Ovis aries: one gene and its partner. The main gene of each other region encodes a partner of the protein of the gene in region 2 in a complex. Links are inferred from orthologs where the notes say so. Each region holds a gene or a part of one and is shown on either strand. Other genes may lie near its edges.

The links.
Region 1: TAF1C (region 2) and POLR2F share a complex: the UniProt entries of both Homo sapiens proteins name them as parts of the pol I pre-initiation complex. The link is inferred for Ovis aries from reciprocal best matches to the Homo sapiens genes TAF1C and POLR2F.

The regions. Positions count from the first base shown.
Region 1 is NC_056056.1:215,572,094-215,581,988, forward strand, and holds the start of POLR2F (DNA-directed RNA polymerases I, II, and III subunit RPABC2), read left to right. Parts: upstream 1-5,024; 5' UTR 5,025-5,119; coding exon 5,120-5,139; intron 5,140-5,612; coding exon 5,613-5,682; intron 5,683-8,421; coding exon 8,422-8,552; intron 8,553-9,895. Other genes in the region: C3H22orf23 (UPF0193 protein EVG1), read right to left, coding at 3,074-3,136, 4,352-4,454. UniProt on the Homo sapiens protein: DNA-dependent RNA polymerase catalyzes the transcription of DNA into RNA using the four ribonucleoside triphosphates as substrates.
Region 2 is NC_056067.1:10,016,842-10,026,613, reverse strand, and holds the start of TAF1C (TATA box-binding protein-associated factor RNA polymerase I subunit C), read left to right. Parts: upstream 1-4,173; 5' UTR 4,174-4,339; intron 4,340-7,356; 5' UTR 7,357-7,428; coding exon 7,429-7,566; intron 7,567-8,661; coding exon 8,662-8,743; intron 8,744-8,933; coding exon 8,934-9,031; intron 9,032-9,108; coding exon 9,109-9,198; intron 9,199-9,294; coding exon 9,295-9,368; intron 9,369-9,772. Other genes in the region: ADAD2 (adenosine deaminase domain-containing protein 2), read right to left, coding at 2,270-2,413, 2,508-2,823. UniProt on the Homo sapiens protein: Component of the transcription factor SL1/TIF-IB complex, which is involved in the assembly of the PIC (pre-initiation complex) during RNA polymerase I-dependent transcription.

The DNA.
Region 1 (9,895 bases), on a different chromosome or scaffold from region 2:
TGAAACTGCGCCCTCGGCAGTGAAAGCTCGGAGTCCTGACCACTGGGCTGTCAGGGAATGCCCCCCAACCGCTGTTTTGATTTGGCTCCTGTCTACCTCCCGTACCTTTCCAGCCTTCTCTGTCATCACCCAGCAGGTAGTATTGAGCATGTACTCTGAGCCAGGCCGGGGACTCTGGGGGTAAAGAGGTCAGACAAAGCCCTGCCCTCACAGTACTTAATCTGGGGTTTAGATGAAGAGAACAGCAGTGATGTTGACAGCAGAGCACCAGTGCCAACACAGGGATGGGCCACAGGGTGTGTCAGGGCGGGATTCACGGTTATAAGTGGGGTGGCCAGGGAAGGCCTCACGGACACGATAGCATTTGAGAAAGGATCCATAAGCGGTAAGAGGCCAGCCAAGGTGATATTTTAGGGAAGAGCATTCTAGACAGGGTGGCTCAAGTGAAGGGCCTGAGGGGGGAATGTGCCAGAGCATCTGAGAACAGACAGCAGACTAGGGTGCTGGGAATGGACTGAACCAGGGGTGGGGTGGAGTGGGAGTACAGGTCAGAGGTCAGGGAGGGCAAGAGATGGACTGGGCCTCATAGGCCTCTGGAAGGACTGGCTTTTACTGTGCGTGAGGTGGGAAGCCATCGAGGGTTCTGAGCCGAGGAGTCACCCCTTTAGCTGCCATTGAAAATACATTGTTGGGAATTTCCTGGTGGTCCCTGCTTCCACTGCAGGGACCACAGGTTTGATACCTGGGCTGGGAACTAAGATCCCTCAAGATGCGCAAGTGAAAAAAATTAAAAAAACATAAAAATAGAAAATACAGTGTTGAAGGTCAAGAGCTTCCCAGGTGGCGCTACTGGTAAAGAACCTGCCTGCCAATTCAGGAGACATAAATGATGTGGGTTCGATCCCTGAGTCGGGAAGATCCCCTGGAGGAAAGCATGGCTACCCACTCCAGTGTTCTTGCCTGGAGAATCCCATGGACAGAGGAGCCTGGCGGGCTATAGTCCATGGTGTCACAAAAAGTCAGACACAATTGAAGCCACTGAGCACGCATGCACGGGGGTCAAGGGCAGAGGTAGTCACAGTTAGGATATGGTTTGAAGGTCAAGCAGACAGGACTGCTGGTGGGTTGGATGTGGGGTCTAGGAGAAAGGGGAAGAGGGGACAGGATGACTCTGATGTGTCTGCCTGGAAGAACCACAAGAATGGAGCAGCCATTGTTTCCCGCTGCCTTTCCTTTCTCGTGCCCTCTATCTAGGGCCAGCCACAGTTTTTCTGTCTCCTTTGAAGAGATGCTATGCTTCCTCTTACTATGTCTGCTATTTCTACTTGTCCAGTGCCAAATGCCACCTTTTCCTTTGGCTCAGTCTCAGCAAATAATTAGAGCCCAAGCAATTCTGGGAGTTCAGGTGAAGGAGAGGAATTTGTGGCTTGCAAAAGAATTTAAGCCTCAAAGAAGTAGGACTTGATTAAGAAGAGAGTAGAGAGGGGAAGCTGGGAGAAGAAAGTAGACTCAACACCAATGCTTGGAGGCAATATTTTAAAAAGAAAACATCTAAGGAGAAAAAAAAAAACTGGCAAACTGTGACTTGTGTTGACCTAATCACTAATCCAATTAGTTTTTCAATAAATACTCAGCACCTCGGAGTCAAGGACTTCCCTGGTGGCTCAGATGGTAACGTGTCTGCCTACCAAGGTGGGAGACCCAGGTTCAATCCCTGGGTCGGGAAGATCTGCTGAAGAAGGAAATGGCAACCCACTCCAGTATTCTTACCTGGAAAATTCCATGGACGGAGGAGCCTGATAGGCTACAGTCCATGGGGTTGCAAAGAGTTGGACACGACTGAGCAGCTTCACTTTCACTAGGAGTCAAGGTACAATGGTGAACAAGGCAGGCTCAATCCTTGGTCTCCTGGTGTTTACTTTTAATGGAATTTCTAGCACATTCTCTTTATGGTCATGTTGTAAGGAAGGAAGGAAGGGTTAGTTGCTCAGTCATGTCTGACTCTATGCGACCCATGGACTATAGTCTGCCAAGCTCCTCTGTCCATGGGATTCTCCAGGCAAGAATACTGGAGTGGGTTGCCATTCCCTTCTCCAGGGGATCTGTAAGGGACATCAGATGATTAGTAGATGACTTGAGTTTGGAAATTGAGTTATGTGACTCAGCTGTGTTGTGGTGTTAGGCTCTGGCAGCCTGAGTTGTCCTTGTCCACAAAAAGGAAGGAGATCTGACTTCTGAACTGACCTGATGGAGCCTCCCTCCCCCAGCCAGCACTGGGCAGTCAGTATTTGTCTCTCTGACTCTCCCATTCCAGTTTCTGTGGTTGACCAGATGTCTCCTGATAGGCACCTTCTTTCTTGAAAGAAGGCAATAGCTATTGGTAGATTTGCGTGAAACCTGGCAGGCTTGAACCTTCTGGTATCCTCTTAAAGGTAACTTTACAGATCTCTGTTCTGATCCCCTAAAAGCTGATTCAGTTAAATCTCAGAAAGCAAGGTTGTTCTCAAGATCTTAGAGGGCACCTTGTTACCTTCAGTTTTTTTTTTTTTTCCTTAAAAATAAATAATACAGTGTGTGGTCAGAGGTGAAAGATGGAAAAGTTTTGCATAGTTTTCCTAAGTTGGAAGCCTGCCAGTAATCGTGTTTCTGCCAGCTAAGCTAGAATGAATAAAACTATGCATAAGACACACACAGGCCTCTCGTCTGGAGAGCTCATATGTTATGTGTGTAAGAGGGTGGGAGAGATTGCGGACTTGACAGCGTTCAGACTGTCTGACTGGGCAGGAAGTCCCGAATGGGCTGATGCCCTGTTAGGAAGGCCGGCTAGAGCTGGACTGTGGGAGAGGCTCATGGACTGGGACCCATGTCTTGTGAAGAAGCAAAGACCAAGACCCTGCAAGGTCAATTCCCCAAGAGCAAGGGTCAGAAATACTATTCAAATTTTGTTTGTGTGTGTGTGTGTGTGTGTGTGTGTGTGTTTAAAATTAGGTCCCCTGCTCCTCAACATGGAGAGAGCATTAAAATGTGACCCAGAATTCCTCTCCCCGGGAAGCCTCTGTGGTCAGCCTCTTACGTTTCATGGTGTCCATGATGTGGCGCTGTTGGAAGTTAGTCAGTTTGGATTCCTTCATCATCACTGCAAAACAAAGCACCTTGGTGAGGCTTCCTGGGCTGCAAGCAGACGCCTCATCTCACCCCACTGAAACTTAATACTGTATCGCCTCCTGCTCCCATTCTGGGTGCCTGCGTACTTGGCTTGTGGGATTTGAGTTCCTTGAACAGGGATTGAACCTGGGCCTCCCAGCACTGAAAATACTGAGCCCTAACCACTGGACCACATGGGAATTCCCTTCCTTTTCTACATTTTTCCCCCTATACCACTCATCACCATCTAAGTTCTATATACCTTATTTATTATTTGTTACTTTCCTCCTAGAATATTAGCTCCAAGGGAACAATAATTTTTGCTTATTTCTTTTCTTTACCGCTGTGTTTTCAGCACCCGGGATAATGTCTAAAGCACACAGTGGGCTTTAAAACTATTTTTGTTGAGTGAATGAAACAGTGAATGAACAAGTATTCATTGAGCACGTGCCAGGGGCTGGAGCTACAAATGTGAGCCAAAACAGGCATCATGCCCTGATGGCGTTCATGAACTGAATGTTAATTCAATGTTAATTCAGTGGAACACACTAGGTATCTGAGTACAGGTTGCACTAAGCCCAGTGAAGGAAAAGGTATTTGGTAGTGTGCAGACTATTAGGAGAAGGCAATGGCAACCCACTCCAGTACTCTTGCCTGGAGAATCCCATGGGCAGAGGAGCCTGTTGGGCTGCTGCTGCCCATGGGGTCCCTAAAAGTTGGACACGACTGAGCGACTTCACTTTCACTTTCCACTTTCATGCACTGGAGAAGGAAATGGCAACCCACTCTAGTGTTCTTGCCTGGAGAATCCCAGGGACAGAGGAGCCTGTTGGGCTGCTGTCTATGGGGTTGCACAGAGTTGGACACGACTGACGCAACTTAGCGGTAGCAGTAGCATCAGTGTGCAGATGCATAACAGTTGGTTCCACTGTGGTGATGATGGGTGGAGAGCAAATAAGTCTTCCCTGGGGAAACTGAAAGTGTGATCTAAGGGGTTCATGGGAGTTAACCACTCTGAAATTCTTAGTTCTTTGACTTTGGGTCACTTCCAAGTTGTAGGAGCTGGACGCCTGAACCTTTCTGAACTCCAGGCTTCTTATCTGTAAACTGAAAATACAATTACTAAGCCATAAGTCATGTAGGGGAGAACTGAGAAACAGAGGGTAACTGTAACCACCGCTCTTCTTGTGCCCTTTAATGCACTGACCTCTGAGCAGCTCGCAGGTCCCTGGGGTGTAAGTGGTCGGCTTGGGACAGCGCCAGAACCCTGTTCCTTTGGTCACCGTCTCCACCCTCTCCTGGGAAGCCATGGGAGGGCTCTGAAGAGGGAAAAACCCAATGAAACATTCCCGGTCTCCCAGATCCAATCTCTTCTCACACCCTCAACACCACCCAAAGTTTGGGAGCGGGTGTAGGGTCTCAAGAGATCGTGATGCCGCCTGTCAACATCGCGACAGTGCCCGATCCTCCCACCTCGAACAGATCCACTGGCAGATATATACACGCGAACAGAGACCTCATCCTGACCTGGCGCCTGTGGCAGGGAAGCCCCCTCGGGAGGAAAGGGGAGTGAGGGTAGCCGTGCCCGTTGTGTGATACGCCCAAACGGGAAACCTCACCCTAAAGTAAGACCCCGGCTGGGTGGCCTCTCTCCTCACAGAGAGCGGCGGCTGGGCTCCGGAGATCGTAACCAAGGCTCTGAAGCAGCAGCCGCGCCTGGTCCCTCCCAGAAATACTTTTGAGATCTCAGCCACTAGAGCTTGCAGCAAGCGCGGCTCCGGCTACCATGGTAACGCAGACAAACTGCTCCGCGCATGTGCCTATTTCTCGCCCCGCCTGCCTCCCGGAAGTGATTACCGCTAGGTCACAGCGCAGGCGCCGAGTACTCTTGGCATCGCGCGAGGCGGAGGTACGCTGTTCGCCGGTCTCCGCGCGGGTTTGGGTCTCGGAACCCGGTGGCTGCTGCGCGGGCGTCATGTCAGACAACGAGGACAAGTGAGTGAGGGAGCGAAACGACTTTTCCGAAGACTCAGAAGGGGCGGATGAAGCAGGAGCCAGGGTCGAAGGAAGTTGAGCCAGAGGTTTAGGACTGGGGGTGGTGAGGGCGTCCGCAGAGCCGGAGAAGGGAAAGGCTGGGAACTAGGAGCATAGACCCGGTCAGAGGCTGGGCGCGGAAAAGGCTCCGACTCGAGGGTCCAGAGAGGATCAGTGAAAAAGTATCTTTCAGCAAACTTCCACTGAGTCGGGCTCTATGTCTGTCTGTACCAAATGTTGATTCAGCTGGGGTCTCTTTCTAGAAGAGGCCCATAGTTAAGATGAGGACGTCAGATGACTGGTTTATTGAATGATTCACTGGTTAGGTGGATATTTATTGAGAGCCTCCTACGTATCACATGAGACTCAGATTTCTGCCCACTTTGATTCTAATAAGTGATGCTCTAACTAACGGGCTTCTTACACTTGTTCAGTTTTGATGGAGACGACTTTGATGACGTGGAGGAGGATGAAGGGCTCGATGACTTGGAGAATGCCGAGGAGGTCAGTACTGAGCCTTGGGCTCCCCTCTCTGCAGCCCAAGCTGCCAGATAGCCCGGCCAGTGATGGCCGACTGCATGCCTCTGCCTCCCGTTTGTGGTCAGGGTACTGCCACTTAGAAAGGGGAGATCTAGCCCTGGGTAGTGGAGGAGTCCTACAGGGTTGGCCCAAAGGCTTTTGTCTCTTGGACCACAGAGCATGACTTCTGGGGCAGTTAGTTTACTCAGTTGAAATAGCCCCTTCATTCATTGTGCAGACATGTGGTGAATGTTTATTATGTACCAGGAGCTCAGCAGGGTGGGGCTGAATAAAGAGCAAGGGGGAGAGTGACCTGGGATAAGGCTGGAGAGGTGAGGGCCAAGATCAGCCAAGATTTTGTAGCCTAGGGGTAGCGGGAAGCTGCTGATAAGTTTTGGGGATCTGGGGAGTGGCATGATCCAGTGAGGAATGAGTTGGGTGAACCAAGAGTCAAAGAGAGCCCAATTAGAGTGCAATCCAGGTGACATCTGTAGCTTGCACTTGGGTGCTGGTAGTGTTTGTGATGAGAAAACAGATGAGAGATTTTGGTGGATTGGATGTGGGGCTGAGAAAGTGGGAGATGGCAGGAATGACTCCCATGTCTCTGGCTTGAGCAGCTTGGTGGATGAGTTACTGGCGTCATAGATAAAATAGGGTCTTCTGTGCTGTGTGACTGGTGGAGGAAGAAGTGCTTTATGTCTTCTGGAGAGAGGAATCCTTTGATTTTTTTTTAGATTGGTAATGTGAAGGCCCTCTTTTGTGTGGGTTTTCCTGTCTGCCTAACACTCTGAGGTTATCTGTTCACTGAGTCAGAAGCCTTCTTCTCGGTTCTTCTGATGCCTTTCCATCTCTCTCCTCTTGATTCTGCCTCCTCCATGTAGTTCAGTCCTGTTCCCGTTTCTCTATTCCTAGTGCCTCAGCCTGGTTTAGATCTTTATTGGTTTTCATCCGCATTACTGCAGAAACTTGTTACCGGTTTTCCTGCCTTGAGTCTGCTGTTTGCCTTTCTGCTGCCAGAGTCGACTTTTTCTCCTACCCACATGATTGGTTACTATTGGTCTTGCTCAGTGTTCTCTCTGCTTCAGCCCTTAGCCTCTACAGAACGTTCTTAACAGAGTATCCAAGAGTGATCCTTTTAAATCTTCAGTCACTCTGTCTCTCCTCTGCTCAGAACCTGCGTCTGGTCACTTCTCATCTCATTCCGAATAAAAGCCAAGAACATGCACAAGGTCCTCCGTGATCCGACCGCCTGCTCCCTCTGTGGTCTTATCTCTTCTTGGTATCGCTGTCATGCCAGGGAAGTTCCAGCTCAGGACCTTTGACCGTGCTGTTCCCTCTTCCTTTTCCCTTAGTTATGCACACAACCTGCTCCTCAGCCTCCTTCAGGTCTGTGTTACATGTCACCTCAATGAGGCCTTCCCTGACCATTCTGTTTCAAATCACTGCATTTGCTCCTTCCTCCAACATCACCACTCGGACACTCCCTGTCTTTTCTCTCTGTTTTTATACTGCACATTTTACTACTTATTTTATTATTGTTCATCTCACTGTATTCCTGGGTTGGAAGATCCACTGGAGAAGGGATAGGCTACCCACTCCAGTGTTCTTGGGCTTCCCTGGTGGCTCAGCTGGTAAAGAATCCACCTGCAATGCAGGAGACCTGCCTGGGTTTGATCCCTGGGTTGGGAAGATCCCCTGGAGAACGGAATGGCTGCCCACTCCAGTATTCTGGCCTGGAGAATTCCACGAACTGTATAGTCTGTGGGGTCACAAGGAGTCGTACAGGACTGAGTGACTTTCACTTTCACTGTATTATAATGTAAAGCTGTATGGGAGAAAGAACTTTCATCTGTCTTACTGCTCTGTGTCAAGCACTTAGAATGCTATCTGACAAAGAGTAAGCACTCAGTAAATATTTGTTGGCTTAATTTTGTATTACAGAATTTATTCTCCTGTCTACCCTGTTTGCACCTTTTGGGCTTATCATACCCCATGATTAGGCATCCAGGCTGAGTACACTCTCTTCCCTCGTGTGTCTTTGCACATATGCAGTTCAGCCTGTCTGGAATGCCCTTTCTTTCTTTCCTTGTTAGCTTGGCAGCTCGTACTCATCCTTGGAGACTAGCCCAAGTCTCATCTCTGGACTGTATTCCTAACCCCCAGGATGAGGTAGATGCCCCTCGCTTTCTTGTGTAGTTTGTGGCACACTGCCACGCTTTCATAGCACTTGATGTTTTGTTTACTCTTGCCTTTTCGCTGGACTGTGAATTCTTGGCGAGCAGAGACTCCGTCTCAGCACCTTTATCATGTCTGGCACATGACAGATGCTTAATAAGTGGTTGTTAAATATATACATGTGTAAAGATGGGGTGCTTCTTCCTCTTCTTGGTTTGGGTGAGGTTGTCTGTGCTCAAGGACTTCTTTGTATGGGACCAACTCTCTCTGCTGGATGAGGCGGCTGGCTTTGGACTCCTGATCACGATTCCTCTTTCACTAGCTCTGAGACTTTGGCCACGTTGGCTAACTGTCCAGCCCTTTAAAATGAGCATTGTAATCCCCACTTGATAAGGTTTTTGTGAGGATTAGGTGAGGTGTTAATAAGGCAGTTGTGTGGTCACTGGCATGCAGCGTGGAGGCGCTCACAGTCACTGTTGTCGTTGTCCTGCCCCTCACCCCCAGTGATACAGCCTGAGATTTTCCCCTCTTTTCTGCCTTTGTGTCCAGGAGGGCCAGGAGAACGTTGAGATTCTCCCTTCTGGAGAGCGACCGCAGGCCAACCAGAAACGAATCACCACACCATATATGACCAAGTATGAGCGAGCCCGCGTGCTGGGCACCCGAGCCCTTCAGATTGCGTGAGTATGAGCCCCCTCACCATCGTGTCCTTTGGTCAGGCCACAGGGAGCCTCCGAGCTGTTGATAATGGCCCGGCCTGGCAGCAGACCCATCCCTTTCTCACAGGCTGAACAAAGGCGGCGCCATCCCCATGTGCCAGGCGCTGTGCTAGACCCCTGTTCTCGGGGAGATTGTTGGGGGAATAGGACATAAACAGCAGAGAGTAACCGTGAGTGTACAGAGTGTGATGACCGCCCGTCAGGTGGGGAAACGAAAATGAACGCAATAAGATCAGACCTAGACCCTTGTGGGCTGGGTAGTTGGGGTGCCGCCACAGCTCCCGCTGGGCTTAAGGTGGTTCTTGAGTAGACTGGGGCCAGCCCAGGGGAGTGAGAGAGCCCTCCACGTTGAGGCTGCACTAGGAATGTGGAAGCACAGAGCAGTGGTCGGGGGTGTAGGGGGTTGAAATTAGCAACCCTTCCTTTCTCTCCCAAGTTGGGAACTTGTTGAAGAACAACATGATTTGGGAGCCAGCCAGTAGCCAAGTCAGGTCAGGTCAAAATGTGCGGTGCTCACATGTCCACCCATGAGCCACAGGCATTGCAGGGGTCAGAGGCCGTGTCTGCGAGGGCGTGGGCCTCGTGCAGAACAGATCCAAAAGCAGCCCCCTGAGGACAGGTGGCTTTGAGGAAGCAAGGGCTCTTGAAGAGGCTGGGCCACAGCTGCTGGCTTTCCCTGCCAGGCTTCCCTGTCAGATGAACTCCTCCTCTGTTCTGGCGAGACTTAAGTGGGAGGACACAGAGGGCAGGCGTGTTACTGTTGCTCTCATGGCAGGTCCTGCCCAGGGAAACAAGAGGCTGCAGAAAGGAGCCCTATTTCAGACTTCTTACCAGCTGCTGGGGGAAATGGTGGACACCTGAAGGAGGGGTGCTTCGAGAAGAGAGGAGTGGGAAACAGGCTTGAAAGAAAAGCTGGGGTCAGAGTTGTGGGGTGATAAATATGCTAGGGGAGCGGTGATGCTCAATCTGTGTGCTCCCTGCCCAAAGTTTTCAAACAGTGTTGGACTTTATCTGTGGAGTGAAGGTGACCACTCGGTGGAGGGTCTTATTGGGGCGGGAAACTGTTGTTCTTCACTCACTTGGCAGCAGGAGGCCTCCTGCCAGCCTGGTTGCACCCCTTGCTGGTCTGGGTGAGTTGAGAGCCGCACCCCGTATGATGATTTCAGTGTTGCTGGGGTCAGGATCCTCTAGGCCTGCACCACAGGTATGGTCACTGCTCCCTACATTTGGCCATTTAAATTAAGTAAAACTGGATAGGAGTTCATTGGAGAAGGAAATGGCAACCCACTCCAGTGTTCTTGCCT
Region 2 (9,772 bases):
ACGCCACAGACATGAGGCTGCCACAGATGCCTCCGCTGGTTATGCATCACTTGAACCCAATCCTGAGGAAACAGACAAACCCAAACGGACAACTTTCTGCCGAATAACCAGACCTTATCCTTACAGCCTGAGCAACTGTTTCAAATAAAAAGAGGTTAAAGAGGCTGATGTAATAAATCGTGCTGGATTGGGGAAAAAATGCCCATCACTGTGACAAGTGGCAAAATGTGAACATGGTAACTAAGTAATAGTATTACATCAATGGGCTTCCCCGATAGCTCAGCTAGTAAAGAATCTGCCTGCAATGCAAGAGACCCTGGTTTGATTCCTGGGCCAGAAAGATCTGCTGGAGAAGGGCTAGGCTACCCACTCCAGTATTACTGGGCTTCCCTGTGGCTGAGGTGGTGAAGAATGCACTCGCAATGCGGGAGTCCTGGGTTCGACCCCTGGGTTGGGAAGACCCCCTGGAGAAAGGCTACCTACTCCAGTATTCTGGCCTGGAGAGTTCCATGGACTGGATAGTGCATGGGGTCACTTGTTAAGTTTCCAGAATTTGATCCTTGTGCTGCAATTATGTAAGACAATGCCCTTGTTCTTAGAAAATATATGTTGAAATATTTAAGGGGTAATTAAGCCTTCAGATTGTTCAAAACAAATCAATGTGGATATTTATATATAAATATACATGGAGAGAAGAAGACAAAGTAAATGTGGCAAATGCTAACTGGAGAATCTGGGTGAAGAGTTTATGGGAGCTCTTTTATACTATTCTTCGAAAATTTACCAAAATGAAGACTAGAAATGACAAAAAGTGCCTACCCACATCGACAGTGGAAAGAGGGACCTTAGGCGGAAGGGAGTGGCAATATTACTCAGTGGTTCGGCTCAGGCTCTGAAACCAGACTGCCCCCTGGCAGTTTCAGCCTCTCTGGCCTCAGTCTTCCCATCTGTAAAGCAAAGGTAATGGTATCTGCCTTTCTTGAAGAATACTTGTGAGGACTCAGTGTGTTAATGTGTCTGAAGACCTTCAAATAACACTCGGTCTGTCACCCAGAACTCATGAATGTTAGCTGTCATTACTGGTATTGAATTGATTTCCTTTTTTTTTTAGTTGCAGCATGCGAAATCTTAATTATAGCCTGCGGGATCTAGCTTCCCAACCAGGGATCAAATCCGGGCAACGGAGATCAGAGTCTTAGTCACTGGACTACAAGGGAAGTCCCTATTTTCTGTATTCTTGATGCTCTGGCATTTGGGGATTTAATTCTGGAGAAACCATCCCTCCCAGGACTAGCTAATTCCTAGACATAGCAAACAACTTCTCTGCAAGCTCACTCTTTCATATAAAAACCGATCAATCCAGAGCTCACACCCCAACCACAGAACTCTGACAAGCCAACATTCCCCATGCCCTAAATCAACCCTGAGGCCAGGTACTAGGCAGCTAGGAAACACCCCATAACCCCTAAATTTATCCAGTGTCTTGCTTTTATCAATCCTAATCTCACTCTGCATAGGTACCCTGCTCCAACCATTCTTTCCCAAGAAAACCCAGTTAACGCCCGGGGCTGTGCCTGGCCCCTCCTCGCCACCCCATCCTTTCCTGCACAGCCCTCCATGGCCATCTGTGCCTGTTTCTAGGATCCATACTTACCCCTTTGTGACAAGCACTCTGACATCTGCTGTCTTAACATACCTGATTAAAATAAATCCCAGGTAGATTTTTTTAAAAATACATTATCTCATTTTGAGTTACTCAGTTTGAGGTTCTCCTAGGAAGTTTTACAAATGCTCCCAAAAGTTCTTAGAAGCAGGGAATGTGCTGGCTGAAAGTTGGGAATCTGAATCTAGGAGGGACCTGGTGTATTGATCTTGGTGGTTCCAGGAGGAGGACTGTAACCACTACACCTGTATACAGTGTTGCCATCATTAAGCTGTATCTGATAACCTCTCTGAGTTGGGGTGGGCGGGCCCTCACTTAGGCACCTCCTCTCCAATGCTGGCATGGCAACTGTAATTGTATATAACTGACCTTCAAAAAGGCCTGCTGAAAGGCTGGTAGCTTGAGGCAGGTCCTTTAACCAACCCGAGCTTCAGATTTGGCCCCCCATCACCTGCTAGTTAGAAATCTGGGGTACCTGGTGCCCCTGGCACCATGCTGCTCACAGCAGGCCTACCTCGGGCCCCAGGCTCAGGCCCAACTCAGTCTTCCTGGCTTCATTTGAGAACAGCCCAGGGCATGCTGCCATCCCAGCCCCCTGGGCCTCACCTGCTGTTTGGCTTTCTCGAAATATCAGGGAGACACCCAGATTGGCCGCGTACTGAGTAAGCGAGGCCACGGCCTGGCCCGGCGGCGGGTCTTTGAGCTGCAGGCCCAGATGTCTGGTCACCTTCGGGAAGTCGCCCGCGGGCCCTGCGGGTGGTACAACGACCCTCAGGGACCTCCTCATCCTTCCCGTGCCCAGCACCCCCCAGCTCCCTGATCCCTGCCCCCACCCAGGCCTCACCATCCCCAGCTGCTGCCGAGGCCTGGAGCTGCCCGCCCGCTTCATTGTTCTCTGCGTTGGGGGTGGGAGCAGGCTCTTGGCCCAGACTGGCCGAGGGCCTCCAGGAGCTGGACCCTGGGCTGATCTGCAGTGATGCTGCCAGACGGGGCTTCCTGCGGCCACTGTCGTCGGTGCCCAGAGCTGTGCTGGCCTGTGAAGCCATGGCTGGACTCGAGGGCGGGAGGGAACAGCAGGCACGTTCTGGCGCCACCTGCGCCTTTTTACACGCCAGAGCGAGCGCCCACGTGGGGAGCACGTGGTACAACCGTCCGCGCATGGTGAGCTCCGCCTCCCGCCTCACTCGTAGCCAATGAGAGCCCATAAAACTGTAGCAGGACAGTATGCCCAGCCAATGGGAAGGCTAGTCTCCCAGGCAGCTTGAGCCTGGATGTGGACTAAGTGGCCACCTGGCCAACCTCCTTATTTCAAGGGCGGGGCTCCGGGTGTAAGGTGAGGGTGGAGGACAAGACCGTCCTATCATCTTCTTCTCTGCGCTTGTTTGTGTGGTATTCGGGAAACAAAGACCAGGGGAGGAGTCTGGGGACCCAAGTTCAGCACCTCACCCCTGCTGCCGTCCAAGGATGCCCTGCACTCCCCATTTTGCCAGCCTGCCCTCCCCAGCTGCTTAAGCAGCTGAGCCTAGAGGAGGATGGGAGGTGCTCATTCTGTAAGTGATGGTGTTTTCATTTGTAGCAGCCTCACAGAGTCTTTAGGGCCTACATTTAAAATCTGTTCACCTTAAGCCTTCCTGAAGCCAACTGTAAGTGTTCCACGTGGGCTCTAGCTAAAATTAGTCATTTGATATCCTGCCCTCCCCACCCCACCCCCGCTTTTTTTTTTTTTTTTCCTCAGAAGTGAATCTGTGTTGGTTCGTAAAAACATGTCAAGATAGCAATTCTTAAAAATGAGGGTCTAGCGATGAAGGAGAAATAACAAAAATAAAGTTGAGGATGAAGACAATTTACATGTGGCTTGCTATCATGCAGCACGGTTGCTTGAAGGAGATGAAAATTTTAACAGTCTTGAGGAGCCAGTGACCGGGAAAATGTGACCAGTTACTGAGTTTATGGTCTGTAAGTTGTGTTGCTGTTGCTGCTGCTGCTGCTGCTTGCTACCTTCGGATCTGACAACACGAGCCAGGACGGGGGCAATGTGGACGCTAAGGCGTAGAGAAACAGTTGGTAGCACCTGTTAACATTTGACTTGGAAGAGCAGATATGGAGCAAGGTAGATTCAGTCTCCCAAACGGTTCAAGGATTGACCTCAAGAAAGACAATTCTGAGGACTTCCCTGGTGGCTCACGGTAAAGAATCTGCCTGCAATGCAGGAGTTGGAAAAGACGCAGGTACGATCCCTGGGTCAGGAAGATCCCCTGGAGGAGAGCATGGCAACCCACTCCAGTAGTCTCGCCTGGAGAATCCCATGGACAGAGGAGCCTGGCGGGCTTCAGTCCATGGGGTCGCAAAGAATCGGACACGGCTGAGCGACTTCACTTTCACTTTCACTTTTACTTAATTTCCAGTGCCCACGGCGCCATCTGCACTCGCATTCTCCCTCCGCCCGGGAGGTGGCGCTCTGGAGCGCCCCTTAGGCCGGGCTGGGAGGCGGGACTTCCTGCCTTCCATGAAGCATTTCCGGCCCAGCCGGGGGAGGCGGTTCATCGCTTCTGTGGAGCTGTCGGGTTGCGGGCTCAAGAGCTAGGGTTCTGCCTTGGGGCTCCCTCGTGGCACGAGGGTCAAGCGAGCGTCACGCGGAGGTCGGTTTCCCCGACGAGCACGGCGCGACGGGATTACGTAAGTGCGCGCGCCGCCCCGACGGGACGGAGGGGCGGGTCCCCGTGCTCGCATCCACAGGCTCCAAACTGTGTGGCTTTGGGACGAGTCGCCCAACCTTTGCAGAGTTGGTGGTGAGCAGCCGCTGGCTCATGGAACGGGGAGCATCACGCCGTTGTAAAGCGTCGTAGCAACAACTGTCTGGCATACAGCGCTTGGTGCGAGATGCCTGCTGTTCTTGGGTTGAAATTCTGGGGCCTCGACGTGGAGAGGGAGGAGACGGATGGGGAGGACGTGGGCGAGTAGAGGTCTAAAGGGAAGGGCCTCCCGGATCCCCTCTCCCATCCCCGGGCAGGCGCACCTATTGCCGCACCCGGCGTTCGTGCAGACCCGACGAAACTCCGGAGGTCTAAATTCGAGTCCGGGAGAGATGAGGGCGGGAAATCGAGGCTGTCTTGTCTCGGGGGTTCTCTGAGGTCGTGGGCTCCACCAGCTCCCTCAGCCTCCCTGCGTTTGTTTGAGACTGTCAAGTTCCTCATTCTTGGATTTGTGCCTTCAGCTTTTACGTACTGATTTCAGTTCATTTCAGTTGCTCAGTCGTGTCCGACTCTTTGCGAGCCCATGGACTGCATGCAGTGCTCCAGGCTTTCCTATCCATCACGTAGTAAATAAGGCAGGCACCGGGGATAAAGTCCCTTCCCCATGCGGACTCTCAGAGCAGTTTGGAATCACATAGCTTTAGCTTTAAATATCTTATCACACATCGCAATGCGTGCTCCAGAGGAGGGATGCAGGGTGATGTGGGACAGGGCTGGGAGAACCAGGAGAGGCTTCCTGACTCAAAATCTGAAGGATGGGGGCAGATTTTTTAGGTGGGTAGGAAGGACAATGGTGTTCATTTTTAGTGGAGAGAGAGTGTGAAAAGGTCCTCTGGTGAAAAGACGCATTCCCACCACTGTCCTCTCCTGTGATGAAGGAGAAAGACAACAACAATCAGATGCCAGGAGGTCAGAAATGAATCTGATACAGTTCCTGTCCCAGAGAGCAGTCCCGAGGAAGAGATAAAGCATATAAGCCACAATTAGAATGAGGCTGACTCGTGCCCTGAGAAACACATTCTTTTGACAAGTTTTTTTATTATTTATTTATTTACATGACTGCACTGGGTCTTAGTTGTGGCACTCAGAATCTTTAGTTGTGGCATTCGAACTCTTAGTTGCAGCATATGGGATCTAGTTCTGCGACCAGGAGTCGAACCTGGGCCCTCTGCATTGGGAGTGAGGTGTCTTAGACACTGGACCACAGGGGAAGTTCCTCGTTTGAAAAGTGAAAGTGCTAGTCACTTAGTTGTGTCCGACTCTTTGTGACCCCATGGACTGTAACCTTCCAGGCTCCTCTGTCCATGGAATTCTCCAGGCAAGAATACCGCAGAGGGTTGCCATTCCCTTCTCCAGGGGATCTTCCCTACCCAAGAATCAAACCTCAATCTTCTGCATTGCAGGGAGATTCTTTACCATCTACCAACATTTACTGTGTGGTGAGCACTTTGCAAGGTGCTCAGAGTACCTGGAGGTATAGAGGTTACAAAATAAATGGATACATGCAGTGGTAGCTCTAAGAGGAAAGGTTTTGCATCATCAGGCTCTGAGGCTGGTGCTCGCTTCTGGATGCAGAGAGAGTTGTGGTTTAGAACTGGGGTTTTGGAGCCGCTGGAGGATCACGCTATTGGCCTTGGGCAAGTTGCTCTTTCCCAGCCTGTTTCCTGACCTCCATATGAGGGGCAGGAGAATAAAACTTGTAGTACCATGTCAGGCAGATGCTGGCACTCAGTAAGTGAGAACTGCTCTTATTTTTGCGTGTATTAAAGGATATTCCAGCTGCTTATTCTTGTTGAGCACTTTGTATTTTGTTGTTGTTCACACTCTTTGTGACCCCCACAGACTGCAGCACACCAGACTTCCCCGTCTGTCACTATTTCTTGGAGTTTGCTCAAGTTCACGTCCACTGAGTCAGTGATGCTATCTAACCATCTCATTCTCTGCCACCCTCTTCTCCTTCTGCCTTCAATCTTTCCCAGTTTTAGTCTTTTCCAATGAGGCGGCTCTTCGCATCAGATGGCCAAAGTATTGGAGCTTAAGCTTCAGTCCTTCCAGTGAATATTCAGGGTTGATTTCCTTTAGGATTGACTGGCTGATCTACCTGCAGTCCAAGGGACTCTGAAGAATCTTCTCCCACACCACAGTTTGAAAGCATCAGTTCTTCAGTGCTCAGGCTTCTTTTTGGTCCAACTCTCACATCCATATATGACTACTGAAAAGAAACAAATTTTGACTATATGGACCTTTGTTGGCAAAGTGTCTCTGCTTTTTAATACACTGTCTAGGTTTGTCATGGTGTCCCTTTCCAAGGAGCAGAGATCTTTGAATTTCATGGCTGCAGTCACCAAAGCCCTTTGACATAAACATTATTATTCAACACACAGTTGGTTCCTTTTTGTTGGAAGGTACTGTACTTGACAGTGGGAAGGCAGACAAATAATAACTCATCTCTGGCTTTGGGGAACTTGAGTTTGTCTTTAGAGTGTAACCTAGAGTGTGGGGCTTGTCGTCTAGGTAGGACTGTGTAATTATAATGTAATACGTGAGAGCGTGATGGAAGCTGATCACCACCAGCCACCTTCTAACTTCAGCCCCCATCACTCACCACCTAGTTTTTCCCATGGCTACCCAGTTGCTTCTCACATACTCCTGCCCCAGGACTCTTGTTCTTGCTGTTCATTCTTCCCAGTACCCTCTCTCCCGTAGTTGGCATGTTTGTCTCTCTCATTAGGCTCTGTGTGTGCCGAACATCACCTTCATGAAGCTACGATGCTAAAAAGCACACCCTCAGGCCCTGCCATCCCTTCCCTCCTGGCGGGTTGCTTGGTTTTGGAATAGCACCTACTATTCTCGGGCGTTCGGTAACATATTCGTTTGTTCTTCGTTATCTGCTTCCCCAAAGAGATTATCCTCCCATTAAGACACTCTTCACTCTCCCAGGAGCCCCGGAAGCCGCTGTCCGGTTCAGGTCTCTGAGGAAGGCCAGGGTGACGGTGGCTACTGTTTTTCAAGATGGACTTCCCCAGCTCCCTCCCACCCTCGTTGTTCATGACTGGCCCCCTTGGTCAGAGCGATGTCCCTGACCTGTCGTTCATGTGCAGCTGGAGAGACGCGCTGACCCTGCCGGCGTTCTCACCCCAAGGCTCTCAGGTGAGGATGGCAGGGAGAGCCTTGGTGGCTTGGGGGAGGGCCCGTTTGCACCCCCCTCCCCCACCCTAGAGGTCACACCAGTTGGCAGGAGTGCAGGGTGGGGGGCTTTGGTACAAATCTACTAAGACCCAGGCTCAACCAGAATCCCATCCTTTGGGGACCTGGGGCGCCCTACCATCCACAGAAGATTCAGCCTCCTTCCTGGCTCCCTCTCCCCCTGCCTTCTCCTTCCTCTGTTTGTTCAACGAATACTCACTGAATAGCTCTACTGTGTGCCAGGTGCCTTATCAGGCTCTGGGGATCCAGAGTGAGTAAGTCAGATGCGCTTCCTGCCCCTGGGGAACAGGTAGGTGGAATAGGGACTAACAAGTGAATAGGGCAGAAGATAAAATCATTTCAAAGTGTGGACAGCTCTGAGCGAAACCAAAAGGATGCTGGAGCCGCACAGGGCAATGTGAGGGGGGCGGGGAGACCTCCTGGGAGAAGAAGGACACCTGCTCTTACCCTGGACGCCTAAGCCATCAGCTGCCACTTGGAGACAGGCTGGCTAAGGGTTACGCCAGGCAGAGGCACGTGGGTGAGAAATTTAAGAGAGGCACTGGAAGGGCGGCGGGGGTGGGGGTGAGGTTTGCAGGACTCACTTGACAAGAAGGGCTTCCATCAGGAGCCTCACCTGCTCCTTTTCCATCCCGAGTGTGGAGCTGAGTTGTCTGAGGCCAGCCCTGCAGGGGAGTAGGGGAGCCTGGGGGTGACTGTACGGTCTCCCGAGTGTACGTGATGCACGGGTGAGACCCAGGCCGGCTAGTGAAGGCCGGGCGGTCCTCTGGAGCAGCGCAGCCTGGATGTGGGCAGCACAGGCCAGAGTCAGGCTGCCTGGGCTCAGGCCCCGGCCCTTCTCTTTTCTGGCTGCTGCCTGGGGCCAGGGACGGCCCCCTGTTCCTCCCGTTCTCTTCATCATTAAAGTGACAGTGAGCGACCGGCTTGGCAGGCGCCTGCTAAGGACTGAAGGAGTTGAGAAGAGACAAAAGCTGATGACAGGGCCTGGCCGGGGCGCTCGCTCACTGTTGCACTTTGGCCGTGGTGGTGTTTCCTCAGGATAGCGCGCCGCATGTGGCCAAGGCCCTGCTCTGGGAGCCTGACACGCCTGGGCCCCTGCCCTTGCTGCCTCCTGGTCCTGGTAAGGAGCTCGGGCTGGGGGCCCCGAGCTGTTCCCACTCACGGCTTCTTCCCCAGCCCCCACCCTGAGGCCTCTCCCCCAACTCCGTGCCCCCTGCTGATTGCTTCCACCCAGCAGGGTCCTTGGCATCTCTAGGCACTGGGACACCTGGTTCCACTTCAGTCCCTTCCCAGCCTCCCTCTTCCCTCAGATCCCTGGGACCCCGGCCTGACTGCCAAAGATCTGCTTTTCCGGGGAGGCTACCAGTTCCGGAGACATCCCCGAGTCGTGCTGGATGTTACTGAGCAGGTGCGCGGGCCCACCCGGTGGACAGTGCCGTGGGCCCGGGGCTGTGCCTCCTGACCCGGCCTCTTTTCCTCCCGCAGATCAGCCGGTTCTTGTGGAACCACGGAGACATAGCCTTTGCACCCCTGGGGAGGCTACTGCTGGAGAATTTCAAACTGGAAGGAGCACATGTGAGTAACCCTGGCTGGCCAGGAGCGGGGAGGCACCCCACTTCCCATTGGGCTGGGCCCTAGGGCGTGTGAGCTTGACAAGGCCTTTCCACACAGAGCCGCTCTAAGACGAAGACAGTGGTCAGTGTGAAGAGGCTACTCCAGGACCTCGGTGGACACCAGCCCTGGGGGCAAGTGGCTAGTGAGAGAGGACGGGTTGGGTAGGCCTAGCTGGTGGTGGGGCTTTGGAAGGATCCAGGCCAGGATGCTGGTTCCGATCAACATTTGCTTCCACCCTCCCCAGTGCAAGCATGAGCCATATTTCCTCATACAGACCCCAGCTGTGCTAGCAGTGCAGGGGGGAAGGACTGCAAGCTCATGGAGAGTAGACATGGCTGCATCCAGGTGTCAGTAGGGCTTTGCCTTTGCCCTTCACCTTCTCACCCACTTGCCTCTGCTTGGCTTAGTTCCTAGGCAGACTGTTTCCAGGTGGCAGCAGCGTGGTTTATGATTCCAGGGAGAGGCCATTGATTCCAGGGAGAGGGCTAGTGGCCTTCCTGAGGCACCAGCAGAAGTCCCAGGAAGGGTGTGCTGG